2 linked regions of the Drosophila melanogaster genome follow. The gene in region 2 interacts genetically with the main gene of each other region. Each region holds a gene or a part of one and is shown on either strand. Other genes may lie near its edges.

The links.
Region 1: of sas (region 2) and Ptp10D, changing one enhances a phenotype caused by changing the other (phenotypic enhancement), as found in Drosophila melanogaster (one study listed by BioGRID).

Annotation. Positions count from the first base shown.
Region 1 is NC_004354.4:11,618,941-11,625,982, reverse strand, and holds the start of Ptp10D (protein tyrosine phosphatase 10D), read right to left. Parts: upstream 3,969-7,042; 5' UTR 3,798-3,968; exon of another isoform or gene 3,626-3,797; intron 2,231-3,625; exon of another isoform or gene 2,154-2,230; 5' UTR 1,881-2,153; coding exon 1,767-1,880; intron 1-1,766. Other genes in the region: Met (Methoprene-tolerant), read right to left, coding at 6,896-7,042.
Region 2 is NT_033777.3:7,159,717-7,166,966, reverse strand, and holds the start of sas (stranded at second), read right to left. Parts: upstream 4,160-7,250; 5' UTR 3,927-4,159; intron 2,846-3,926; 5' UTR 2,608-2,845; intron 2,539-2,607; 5' UTR 2,447-2,538; coding exon 2,107-2,446; intron 1-2,106.

The DNA of each region.
Region 1 (7,042 bases), on a different chromosome or scaffold from region 2:
CGTCCTATCTGCCTTGTGCATCTGAGGATTCTGGCCGGCATTTAATTACCCAACACTTCCTTGTTCCCATCCCACTGGGATAATTGTTTTTAATTTTCTCTGTAAGCCACATTTTCCGCTCCATTTAATCGGACTCTTCCTATGGCTTATTTGTTTACACTGATTATTGATCTTTCTTTGAGTTGCTCTTTAAGGCTTTCAATAAATTGTTTTAAAATGTTTTATAAAGTTAATACATACGTATATTGTACATTAATCGGTAACAGAATTCGGCTAAACACTGTACAATTTTAAACGGAAAAGAATATAAGCGAAAAGTATCTTATGGATGTGTACTCGCATTAATGAATGTATGTACGTACTCGTGTTCACTATTAAACTGAAACGTGACTTATGGCCACCAGCGACGAAATAAGTTGAGATTGTATGTGACCAAATGGCAAATATTTCTGCCCATTTATCGGTGCAGTGAAAAAAATAAACAAAACGACCTAAAAAACCCAATTGAAATGGATATACCGGAAAAACAATTGGTTAGTTGTACTAGAAATAGAATAAATGTTTACACATATACATAGTAATCGTTACGCGCCAATAATTTTGCTAAGCAAGTAAACAAATAAAAAAAAACCAACGAATGAAAGTTTGTCAATGTAAAATGAAACCGATATCGAATTCTAGCCGGTTCATTGCGGATCCAGAATTCATGACAAGTCGTGCCCACATGTGTAATGATTAATTACCCTTAGTAACCAGTGACCAGTTAAAAGCAAATAGTACATAACAATACGACGTGAGTTAGTAGCACCGCATCGATGCCCTATGAAAACCCCTATATTCAGATATTTACCCATAAAGTATAAAGTTTATGAAAATTGAATTCGTGCAAAAGTGCAACAGTGAAAAACCTAATTAGGAAAATTGCCAGCCTTATCGATTGCATCACTCAGCTGAGTTGCACACATCGAGGAATCGGCAATGCAATTACTTATTATGCAACACAGCTCGAAGTATCAATTAAAAATGCCAGGCATGCAAAGTATTTAGACAAATTCCTTGAAACGAAAATATAACTATCTGTTAAGTTTGTTATATTTAATTATTCTGAGTGTACAGGGTATAAATATGTCATCATCTTCTGTTAAATGCATTCTACTTCATATCTGCACAGCACACGACTTGAGATGCAAAATGCAAAATCTTGTTCGGTTATTGTTTGTTACTCTTGCTTTTGTTTGTTGTTTCCTCAAGGTCTTTGATCGGATTGGAGTTTGTTTGTTGCTTTGTTTGTTTGTTTGTTTTTAGTACTGTGTCCAGTGAGGCAAATACATTCGCATAAACAATGGCGAAAAGCAAACACGATGCGAAATAATTGAATTTAATTAACATGGGAAAGACCACAGACAAAAGTGACGAAGACGATGATTTCCATGTGGGCGGTTTAATTCGAGGCGGGGGCGGGGTCGTCACAAATAAATAATTAAATAACTTCGGACAATGTTTGCAGAACCTTGTCGTTTCGATAGCCCTCGAATTTAGAAAGTTATTTGTGCACATTTCGAGGTTATTGTTGTTTATCATATCTTTTGAACTCCTATCTAATTTTGCATATTTCTCTTGTATTGATGTATCCTGAATAATTATTATTATTATCCTGAATAATCGTTTCTCCCAAGCTAAGATTCCGAAACGGGTAATTCGACGGGCCTATAAATCCACCCGCTATTGTGTGTTTTGGCCATGTTTTTGTTGGCCCTCTCGCTTACCTTTAGTGTAAATGCTGCCAGAAATGCTAAACTCCAGAGCCAGCGATGTTGTGGAACGGCTTTTTGCCTTTTGAGCCGGATTCTAGTAGTGGCTTTACTTAGCTGGTACAACATTTTGGGGCCGTCGTTTTGCTGTTTTCGTTGTTGTTTTCCTCTCCGCCTGGCTCTCTTTTGTTGCCTGCTTCTTGTTTTATTTGTTCCTATGTTGTTGTTGCTTTGGACTTTGCAATTTATTGTGCGATTTTTGAATTGGGCTTTTCGCTAGTTTCTTTCGAATTCGGGCATTTTTAGCGCGAGTTTAGTCTTTACTTTGATTAAATGCATTGTTTTCACAGTTTTCCCGTTAGTGTGGTGAAATTTTGTAAATTTTTATCCTGAATCCAATTGCTTGCAATTTGTTGGTTTAATTTGAATTGATTAAAACATATTCTTGTTTTGTTTTTGTTTGTTTTTTATTTTGTGATCTGCAAGAGAGTATGAATTAAAAATAACTGAAAGAGTGATCGCAAGAGGGAGACAGCTAGATAGTGCCGCTGTCCTGCTCTCTACCTGCTCTGCTTCCTCTTCTGCTTATCCAACACTTTGCGCTTGCGCCGAAAGCTTCAGTTCCTATTTTTTCATATTTTTCTGCGACTTGTTTCTATATTTCTGCACAGTGGAACTAGGCAAATGCAAATTTGATTGAACATTTGAGATTTAAAAACCACTGTTAAGACTTTGCTTAATAAATCAATATCAATTATTTTACTTATCTAGCAGTAAAGTATAATATTGAAATACCCGTTCTACTTAAGTTTTCATTCCTGGAACTGTGTGATTAAGCAATGCATTAAATTCATTTAAATCTAATTCGCAGACAAGTGCTAATTAATTGCACTGTCTTGTGCAGTTGCAAAAAAATACTGCTGATCAATAATTTAGCCTGCGCTGACGTCATTGAAATATTTAAAATATCGCAGCCAGCAAAAAAACCAAATAAATATGAAGAACAAATAAAACTAAACGTCTGAAAACCAGTTTTGCGAAATCAAAACGATACACGGCACAAAATTCAAATTGTATTGACAAGTATCATATCTTCTGGAAAATTAAAGATGTTGTCCTTGTATCTTTTGAATAGACTTGTAATGAATTGGTAATCCTGCTGTAGGACTAATTTAATTTAGGAGTTCCCTTTTAAGCTACTCTAATTTTGTTCTGTGTATGTTTTGTTATTGTTGCACTGTCTTGTTGTTGCTTTCTGCGCTTGGCAACGTTGTCATGCAGAAAAGACCTTCAACTTTGTTGCAAAGAGAGGAAGACAGAAGAAGAGCAGAGCAGATTGATTTGATTGATCTTTTTCCTTCTGGTCGAGAGAGAAGAGCAAGAGAGAGAGAGAGGGAGAGAGGGAGAGAGAGAGCTTTATGATCTCGGCACATAAAACACAAAAACAAAACAAGTTTTTAAAAACGTATTTCTTCACCTCTTATTTATTGTTAAATGTGGGACAAGTTTTTTTAATGCGACTGGAAATTTTTCGCAACTTATTGTCAGCATTAATAGAGATTTTATGAAACAAGCCAAAATGATCCCCCAAAATTGAATGCCGTCAGAGAAACAGGAAGTGGAGAAATTTGCCGCACAACAACAAAATATTCAAATGAGGCTGCGTGTGAAAGAGAGAAAGCAGCGGCATGCCAAAAAACGAAATAATACATAAAAAAGCTGCGTAGGTGTTGCTTCTACCTCTCTCGCTCTGTGTCTGTCTGCCCCCCTCGGCCAACATTTTTTGTTATTATTATTGCACACACATACACACACACACACAAACAACTCTCAATTTCTGCTTTTACTTTAAGCTTTATTTCAGCATTTCTTACGTTTTCCACTGCGTTTTTCTCAAATTTTGCTCATTCGGCACGCCACTAAAAAAAACCAAAACATTTAAATATATACACCGTTAATTTGTGTATTTTATTTACTTCTATTCTGTTGTTGTCGTTGGTTATAAAAAAAATAACAAAAAACAAACACAGGCGCACGCACACTTACACGTACACGCAGGCACGCGACGCAAAGCACAGACACAAGAAAAAAGCGGAACGGACAATCGACAAATTTTGCGTTTTTCGAGCGTTTGCTTTGCGGCCCGCCTTAACAGATTTCGCGTCCGTACCGTCCGCACTCCGGTTCGCTCTTCACCACACTGAATTGGAATCTGATTCAAATCGGATTCGAGTCCGGAGTCGAATTTGGAATCGGAATTGGAATCGGAATCGGAATCGCCAACGCTCGTTTCACCTGTAGAGCTGGACAAATAATCGATGACCCAGCGATGGTATCGATAGGAACCTGCGCGGCTTCTATGTTTCGCTTGTAACTGTCAACTATTTAAAAGCAGAATTAACCATTACTTTGCTGCGCGGTTATAAAATAGTTAAATACAATTAAATTTGTTGCACTTGATTCTTTTTAACGTGAACCAAGCATTGCGGCAGTAGTACTTCGGCCATTACAAGTCCGAGCTCCGTAATTCTTATTATTCAATTACTCACACAAAATGTTAGTCCAAATGGACATCTGAGCCATGGGCTTAGTGAGCCAAGGCGATAGGCTGTATATGTGTACCCAGACAGCATGCACAGCGAAATGTTAACAAAGAAAACATTTAATATTTTATTATTTATCCCGCGCAAAACCGATCTGACCAAACTCAAGGTGTTTTTTGTTTCCGAATGCAATCGATTATAATCGATAGTTCAAACTCACCTCTGAGGGGAGTTAATTCGCCGTTATTCGGCTGCAATGCGTGCGCGCAAGGCAGATATAATGTGGCGCGCATTTCAAATCAGCTTATAAAAAAGTGTAACATTCCAACTCCTGAAAATAGGAAGTAACTTCATTGATTGAAAACACTTCCATCTTCTTTTATATAATTTATTATTTATTAAGGTTTCATTTGCATGAACTGTTACTGGTTATTATAATTAATTATTGTTAATTACAGGCTATGTTTTAATTGCTAGAGATTAGCAAGTTCTAAAAATTACATTACACATTATTATTCTTATACAGAGTATACCTCTTGACATTTGACATTACAGTTAAAACTAAATTACTAAAAAAAAACAATTCAAACTTTCATTTTTATTTGGACATATAACAACGCAAGGAAAACAAACAAAAATTAAATGAAAGGATAAGCCAAAAGTGTTTAAAGAGCACAACTCGTTTGAACAAACACTGAACGATTCGCTGGGGAATTAGCATTGGACTTTTAATTTAATTACACACTAGACAAACCGAGTTATAATTAAAAATACAAACAAAAAATTGAGCTAAACGAAAAGTTAATAGCATATATGTATGCATACATTTATAGCTAGAGGAATTTCGCTATAAAACAAAAAATAACGAAACGTGTTCCCCCCCGCCTCCCGCCTTCTCTGCGCCCATCACCAACCGCCGTTCCCCCAAACCCCCCGAAACCACCCACCGCCTCATATTTACCACTAGAACCACTTGGCCGAAAAAAAAATCATATATTCCCTCCGATACGCCGGTGATAAGAACGCAACGCCAAGGACAATGGCAAAGGCTTTGATAACAGGTCGGAGCGAGATGGGAATATGTCTCGCTCCCTTTCTGTGAGTATTGAACTACAGCCAAACTTCGCTAGTACGAACTTCAAAAACACTTTGAAATTTCAACTTAATCATATTTTGTCCAGTAGACATTATAGAAGTGTAACATAGATCAATTAAAATGATTATATTGTATTTAGCGGATTGGATTTTGGATGACAAACTTTTTTTTTAATTTTGAACACATTTGTAATAACTACAAAGTTTATAAGGATATGGATTTGGGGTATGCTTATATGCTTTGTAAAGTTCCCAAAATTAAAACTGTTGAAAAATAAAGCTGCGCCTGGAAGTGTTTTTATAGATTACAAAGGGATATCGAAGGAGATTTGTGATATAAATATATATACATAAATATATATATATAAAAATAATATGCTATTCTTCATAAAATAAAAAACCTTTAATAAAGTCTCCAATTCTGAGACTGAAGAGTTTGACTTGGATTAGTTTGACTGTACATATGTAGTCCTCTTTCTTTCTTCGAGCGAGACGGCAAAACTAAAAGCGAGCGTTTAATTTCCATCGATTGCAACATCCGTTTGTTTAACTATTAATGAGTTGTGTTTAGCACGTTCTAGACTTAGGGCGAAATAAATATATAATTGTTTGTTTGTTTTTCTATTTTCTTTTCTTTTTTTTTTTGTACTCTTTTTACACTGGTGTTTTGGGGCGGAAGGTGATAACTGGGAAATCGGGGAAATGGGGTTTAAATTTCAACTAAAACCAAATCCGAGCACTGATCTAATGTTCATTCACACCCATGCTGACACGATCACAAACTCACTCACGCTCGCACTCATACATATTTACAAATTAAACGTAATTACATAACGAAAATTATTGATAATGGAACGCATTTAGCAGCACCCACCGATCGCCATTCATCAATATAACATGTAATCAAACTACTATTTTATACCGAAATCACACACAGAAACAGTAATGGCCAAATGTACCCAAAATGTATCGCTTATGTTTTGAGAAAACGATTATCGTGATCAGATCATTATTACTGTCATAATATCAAAATAAATGCGAGCTCATATTGCATTTTCATCAAATGAAACCACGTTAATTTCGTTTTTAATACGGAAACCCTATAGATCAATTGAAGTCGAAAAGTACGTAGAAAGCGAAAATCACGGAAAGTCTCATATTAAATTACACAATTGCTTGATTTGTTAATAGCTTTTGTAAAGCCAACTCATTATACATATGTGTATACTGAAAATTAAAATTGTTTGATTGCTCAAAGCTTGGAAATGTGAATATGAAAACAAAAGGTTTTTCAACCCACGCTCTTTTTTTTCGTTTTTAAGTTTTTTGGCTGAATTTTTAAACTATTTGAATAATGCTCGTTTTTTTCTGATACATTTTGGGTTTTCATTTTGCGATTGGCCAGGATTATATTACCGATACTAATTCGTTTGTGGGCACGTGAGCTACCAATGACGTCCATTTCCACACACCCAATTAGAAGGCAAACCAGGTTCCATCAGCCCGTCATCGCAGCGTGCTGGTCAGGGTTCGATGCAGGACACTGGGACGTGTGTGGAGCGACGGTGGCGGTGATGTGTTGCTGTGCGGATCGGGCGTGTCCGGTGCTTCGCTGGCACTCAAGCTACTGGCTGGTGATAGGATACAGGATGC
Region 2 (7,250 bases):
GCAGACAAGTTGGCCTGTTGATTGAAGTCGTTATTGAATTTTGTAAATTTCGTGATACGTATTATTTTTTAAGAGACCTCGTGCAAACCTATAAATATATTTATTTATTTTTGGCAAGCCATTTCGAGTGCAGTCCCTGACTTGCAATGCCAACGCATTGAAAATTGCTCAATAGGATTTTTTTTCTGCATTTTTAAATTTCTGCCCGCGCTCTATCAAGGCCATAATTTAGCACCCAAAACAGACCGCAAAACTGAAAATTAACATAAATGATTTATGTACTCGACTTTCAAGTACAACTGCAGCCAGTTGTGGTATACAATTTTCCAACTCATTAGTATTACTTTGCTGATTTTTTCCTCAGATTGAAAACAATTTGCTGCAAATTTGCAAAATGTTTTATTTGGATTGTGGTTAATCCAAAAACGGGTCGATAATAGCATAATATCCCCAAAAAGACATGCATTACAAAACACGAAATTTGTATTAAAAATGAAAATGAATATTGTGCACTTACTTTCATGATTTCGTTAAAATCTAGTCTAGCTTTATTTCTATATTTATTGCTTCGGTAACTGTAATTATAACACGAAACCAGTTTATCAACTGTCTAAAGTCTTGCCCAATAATTGATTTGCTAATACATATGTGCTTGTTTTAATTATAAAATCCAAATCCTCAATCCACTAGCTACCCACTCAACGCCTGGCAAAATAAGAGTTTGCATCACTTGAAATACCCATTTTAAAATGTAATCAGGTGCGGTTTCTTCTCCAAGTTTGTAGGTGTTTCATTTATCACATCTGTCAATGACTAATTGCTATTTATCTCTCTTAGCTAATTTCCTGGGCACATACTTATATAATTAGCCCCCGCGAAAAGACATTCCGTGTTTCTGTACAAAGTTAACACCCAAAATTTAACAAAGTTAACTCCAAGATTATGGTACGGACTACGTAGGTTAAGGGCATGAGTCATGACAGTTGGCTGCTTTGCATTTAAATTGAGTAATTTGTGAAGGCTTACCTTACCACCATCCCAATGTTTGCTGTTAAATCTCATTAACTTCCCGTGGCATTTAGACCGGCTAAAAAAGGCCAGTCCCTTTTAAACAATGCATTCCCACTTGCCATGGCAACAACCTATGCTCAATCGATCTAGACCTGTGTGTGGCCTGCTAGACCTCGTTTTATCGAGTCATCAATGAATCTAGATGGAATAGTATCAAAACAATGAAAAACCAATTGAAGTTTTTACGACGGAGTGCTTGCCTCGTGAAGAGTTTGGTGTGCAACTGACATTAAGCCCAAACAACCTTCTAGATAATTATAAATCTGTTACAGCCAAGAACTCGGCAATGGAATTGCCCGATTAATCTATTTTGCAAAAGGTACGTGTGTGAAAGTTAATCATTCCATCTCAGGTGATCTGGTTAAACGAATTTCTCCAGTTATCCTAATAACCTAAATGTGAATGTGTTCATTCAACAGAATTACAAAAAAAAAAAAAAAAATCTAATCTGATTTATTATTTTTTATTTTATATTAAGTATCAATTGTATCGAAATAGAAGTATAATTCAATTTATCTTGAGTATCTTGGGTGTAGTACGAGTAGAATATATTAAGATTTAATTAAGTTCATTCACTTGTTCTAGCACGAATAATAATTTCTCGTATAATTGGTTTCCGAGATTGAGCTTGAGGGCCGGAAATTTTAATATTTTCCCTTTAATATGCCGCGTAATTAACTAAGTAATTCAACAGGAAACCGCTTATGTATATCTTCAAATATTCTTCCATCCATTAATAGTCAAACAATTTCTCTTGTTCGCTCCATTTAACCGAATCGGAAAATAATTATGGAGAAATGCCGTACAAATCGAAACGAAATGGGTAAAAAAAAGGGCGGACCAGAAGTCACGCACCGGCACGGCGTTAATTGGTGGCTCAGAGAACGAGATTTGATTACGGCGCAGAGAGCACAGCGCGGCTAGGCGGGATTAAAGTGTCTGGCCGGAGATCGGGATGAGATGCCCCAGCTATGCGAGCGTCGTCGCGTAGATGCCGTCTATCTATAATTTTCATGGCTTTCGGCTTGGACTCACCAGTTTCGGTCGCATTGGATTTGTTGGCCGCCTCAGTTGTTGTCGTCGTGGAAGTCGTTGAACCATCCGCCGCCTCGGTGGTTATGCTGCTGATGCTGCTGCTTTGTTCTGCGGCAGTTGTGGCTGGAGTGGTGGTGGCTGCAACGGCGTCTGGGGCATCTGTTGTGGTATCCAAAGGTGGCATCGTTGTGGCCGCTGCGTCTTCGCCTGCGGGCGCAGACGCCGCACGCTCAATTTGAATGCCAAGCAAAAGTAATCCGCAGAGAGTGGCCAGGCACATTCTACTCCACTTGATCGTGGATTGGCCGCCGGAGGCTTTTCTTCTTCTACACGTTTGCATTTTGGTTTATGTTTGTGCTCCGTCTTTTTGGCTTTTCCTCTTTGATTTTTCTCACACGTTTGCACTTGTTATTGTTAATTTATAGTAATCTGCTATAAATATGGAATTAAATAAATTACATGCACTTTTAAACGTTTCGAAGGGTCTCGATAACTCATTACCTACTTTTGTTCACTAGTTATTATTTAGTTTTCTCTTTTGGGGTGCGGGATTTTCTTATGCGGTTATTTTAGTTCACACGACATCTGTGGCAGCGGTTTCTGTTATTTGTCATTGACTCGCTTTGGTAACCCCAAATGCTGTCATTTCCGTTGAAAGTCGGTTGAATAACGATCTCTCAAGTGTCAACTCAAGTCTATATTTTGCCAGCCGATTTGTTGAGTGATTTGTTAGGTCGCCCTACGCGGAAATTGGAAAGTTGTTAGCTTGAAAATAGGGGTGGCTTACTCTTGACTCAATCAATCAAAAATAATATGTGAGTTAATTAAGCTACGAAATAAAAGTATTAGCTAATTTTTCCAAATACGCCGCATATCTAAAGCATTTCCTATGTCACACATTTATGTAATGACCAATTTAAGTGTGAAAGCGTAAACATCTTCGATGCCACTCACGCAAGTTCGTTTCCCAAGTCTTTTGTTTTATAAAGTTTCGCATAGTTTTGAATGTGTCCGAATTTTTGAAAACCTATGTAGATTTACGATACGTAAACCCTATTTAGCATATTTCATTTAGATTTACAACTTCTGTACCTAAGCCTAGAGCAGCTCATAAATATCTTTCATTTTTTTAAGACTACGCCGCCAGCACAATGTTTACTTCTCACCATTCAAATCAGAAACTAGGCAAATAAACCAGCTTGCCAAAAACAAAGGCTGCCAATTGGGCTCTAAAAAAAGATATACTGTTTATATGCAAGGCAGTCGATGCTCATGCAACTCGCTACAATGCAACGCCAGCAACAAAAAACCCTAGACCCAAATTGCGATAGCAAAATATTTCAACCGGTTCCAACGGCAGCAGCAGAAACTGCAACTGAAAACGGCTGCAGACCGCAGAATTTGCTGCACGCCTTTTTGGCCATATTGGTACGAAGGCAATTAGACAGCGTGCGGTTCTATTTATTCCATATCTGCTGGCAATTGTTAATATTTCTTTTGGCTAACATCTAGTGATGTCATTGTAAAAGTTGATAGCTATTTGCACTGACATTTCGCATTTCACATTTCACTCTCACTCCTTTTTTGTAGAAATGGCAAATGGCAGAAAGCAAACAGCGAACAAGCGATTCGGAGCTGGAGGGAGAAAACGTGTTTTCGGTATTTCCAATGGAATGTTTTCGGTCGTGGTTCTCTTTTCTTCTGCTGGGCCGTTTATTTCACTACCAGATCTTGTGTTTGTTTAATAAGAAAGCAAAGATTTGCATAAATCACAACCGCACACACACGCAGGCACGCTTAAAACGAAGATTAGCACCAACCCGGCGAGAAATAGGTATAGGTATTGGTATATATCTCCTCTTATCTGGCCACGTTTGTGGGCAGCGCGGTTTATATGTATATATAAATCGTTCGCAAAGTAATGCGATCGCACTCGGCCAACCGCTCCGTCTCAAGCACGACCACCAACTGATCTCTCCGGCGGCACGGATCTTGGCTGGTAGCGTTGCCAACTCACCACGGTCTGCATCTGCAGGCTGCCAACATGTAACTGGTTTGCTGTTGCTCTCCGGCCAACTCTTAGTTGGCTCTCATCTGGCTGGCTCCTTCTCGCGCGTCAGCTGAGCGCAACAGGTGAGACCGTGCACGTAATACATAATACCCATTACCATTACCCCGTGGTTGAATGCTCGCTCTCACCCACACTCAGGTGTGTCTAGGCTGTTGCTGTCTGCCAGTGTGGGTGTAGTGAGCGAAAGGCCCTCTCTAGAAGTCGTTGGATTCGAAACAAGACGACCATGATGCATACACAAGACTCAAAGACGGAGTTTTTTTTTTTCAATTTGGCAAGGCAACTGCAATAGTCGATTCCTTGACAAGTGAACTCAGCGCGATCTATTTGGACTGTCCAATTGGATGGCGAAAAACTCAATCCCATTGAAAAACCCAGGCCAAGCCGAGTTGGCATTCATCGTTCCGATTACGCCTACCTTCGGTTTCTTTCTTCCTCGACTTCTTTGTCTGACTTTTTGAAAGAGCACAAGCGTAGATTCGTATTAGCGGCCCTGCATCTCCATACTCGTAGATCCAGAGTGTTCATGAGTCAGGGATGCTTGGGGTCACAGCGGCACTAAGAGATTAATCCCATTTACAGCTTTCGTAAATATGATTAAATAAAGAAATTCTATGCTACTTCGAAAGAGTGAAATGATAAGTGATAAGGTGATACCTTATCACCCCTATTGTAGGGTACATTGAACACTCGTGAGTGATAAAAATGATTAGTATAAGGATAGCATTAGTACTATATTATATTATATTATGTGAAATAATTACTATAATCCCTAAATGTTTGGTGTTCTAATAATATTTAACCAATTACTTTGGGATAAGTAAAACTAGAGATAAGATAAGTACGCCGACGCTATTAAAACCCAAAAACTAGTCGAGGTCAAATCGGTTTCTATAGAGGAAAGTACGATATATGTATATATAACTACATAAAAGTTATTTTTACTGCGATACCCGAAATATTAAATAAAACTAGAAAGATTCATGAAATTCCAATATCTATTAGCAAACCCAAATAACCGCCATTCCGAAGGCCTTATCTGCGGAGCTGCTCCCAAATTCATAAATCCACCGATCACTGACTGATCCACCGCCATCAAATGCCATCGATGCAAATATCAATTCTCCACTTGGGATGCGAGACGCGCCCAGAAACCGTCATCACACATCAATGGCAGCAAGTTGGCCAACCGTCATTAAAAAGGAAATGTGTGTCTGAAGAACTCAAATCTAATCAAATCAAATCATATCCAACTCAACTCTCAACTCTCTGCTCGCAGACGTCAAAAAGTATCAAATGTGCACACAGTTTCTATGTTATTGGGGCTGCTCTTGTGGTTGCATACATTAACGTGCAAACATCAGAGAATAATGCAGAAATGCGCTTTTTTTGGTGTTGCACAAACACGGCCAAAGTTGCATTGTCTCCCTTTGTTTATACATACATATATTTTGTCTGGGGCTTATCGCACCGTCATTGAGAAGCCGCTAATGCTAATGCTAATAAAATACAGGCGAACATAAAAAGATAATAATAATAACAATGCAACTTCAGTTTATGCTCACAGTTTTTGAATGGAGCATTTCTCAATGTATGCAAAGGAAAAGAACGCTGCAAGAAAACGGAAACTACAAGTAGTGTCTTTTGCATAAAATGCACAACATATGAATACTAAAGCATTAGGAATTAAGAATTAAAAATTAAGAAATATAAATTAAGCAAAAGAAAAGAAGACTAGAAGTGTTGTAAAAAATTCCAAAGTTGCATACTACCAATGGGTCTTCCACTGATAGCCAATTATCTAGCTACCAAATGGCCACAGACCTAAGCACCCACTTCCTTGCATCGTTGGAATGGGACCTGGTAAACCTGATACTTGTGTGATTTGATTTACCCAATCGCATGCAATGCGATAGCGCAGACGAAGAGCAGCGAAAGTTGTTCAATAGTAATTGGCTTAATTATGAGTACAATCTACATAGAAACTCGAAATTAAATTCGAAATTAGCGAAAAGCCATATCCACATTATATAAAAACGCGAAAAATGAATTTTTCGGATGCCATTGCGAGGGGCCAAGTTTTCACAGTTCGTTTTTTCCACCTGCTGTTCGTTGGTAATGTCTTCATTCGTGGTGTTACACATCAAAAAAAGAAAAAATCTCATGATAAAAGTCGAAGAGAGTTGGCCAAACTAAGGCCATGAAACCAGACGAAATCTCTTTCCAGTTAATCTCGAATTTGGGACTGTTTCAAAAGGCAGCGACACCGAGTAAAATGAAGTCAAGTCAGTGCGCATTAAATTGGCTCATTTTTCCTTATTTGTTCACAAAAGGCATTTAACCAATTTGCTCTGCACCGAAACTTGCTTGATATTACGTCAATATATTTGGCTCAATTTTCGGGTTTCTTTGTTTGATCTACATTTTAGTGTTTATTATTGGATGATTAAAGTCAAATGAATTAAGGCAGGCAGAGTGATAAGTAATATACCCACATTTATTTATTTGAAAGCTGTGCGGATTGGTATCATTGCACAGTGGACCAATGCATTGGTCTGTCGTTAATTGCCGTGATGGGATTTATTGTACCGATAGTTCGCATTTTCTCATCCATTCACAAGTGCTCTTATTAAATAAGGGATTACAACAATTAAGCCGAAATCTACAAAGTAAATTTTGGGTGTAGAAAACACTACAGCAGCCTAATTTAGTCAATGCAAGTACAATTAATGTGGCCAACGAACGTGGCTTAAAACCAGCAAAAAGTGTAGCAGCTGCCATTGTGTTGCTATTGCTGTTGCCGTTTATTGTCAAAGCGGTTAAGCGACATGCCACCAAAAATGATTGACAATCACTTTACAAACTGTTTTCATTGCAGCCGGGAACAGCAAGAAAAACAACGCGCACACTGAGAGAAACGAGGCCCACACTCGGACTGACAGCACTTCCCCATTTTGGCTGCCAGCAACCAGTTGCATATGAAAGTAAAAGTAAAGCATGCACATGCAGCGTATAATAAATATATATACACAAACTGCATTTAAATGCATTGCAGACGGGCTGAGAGACCGCT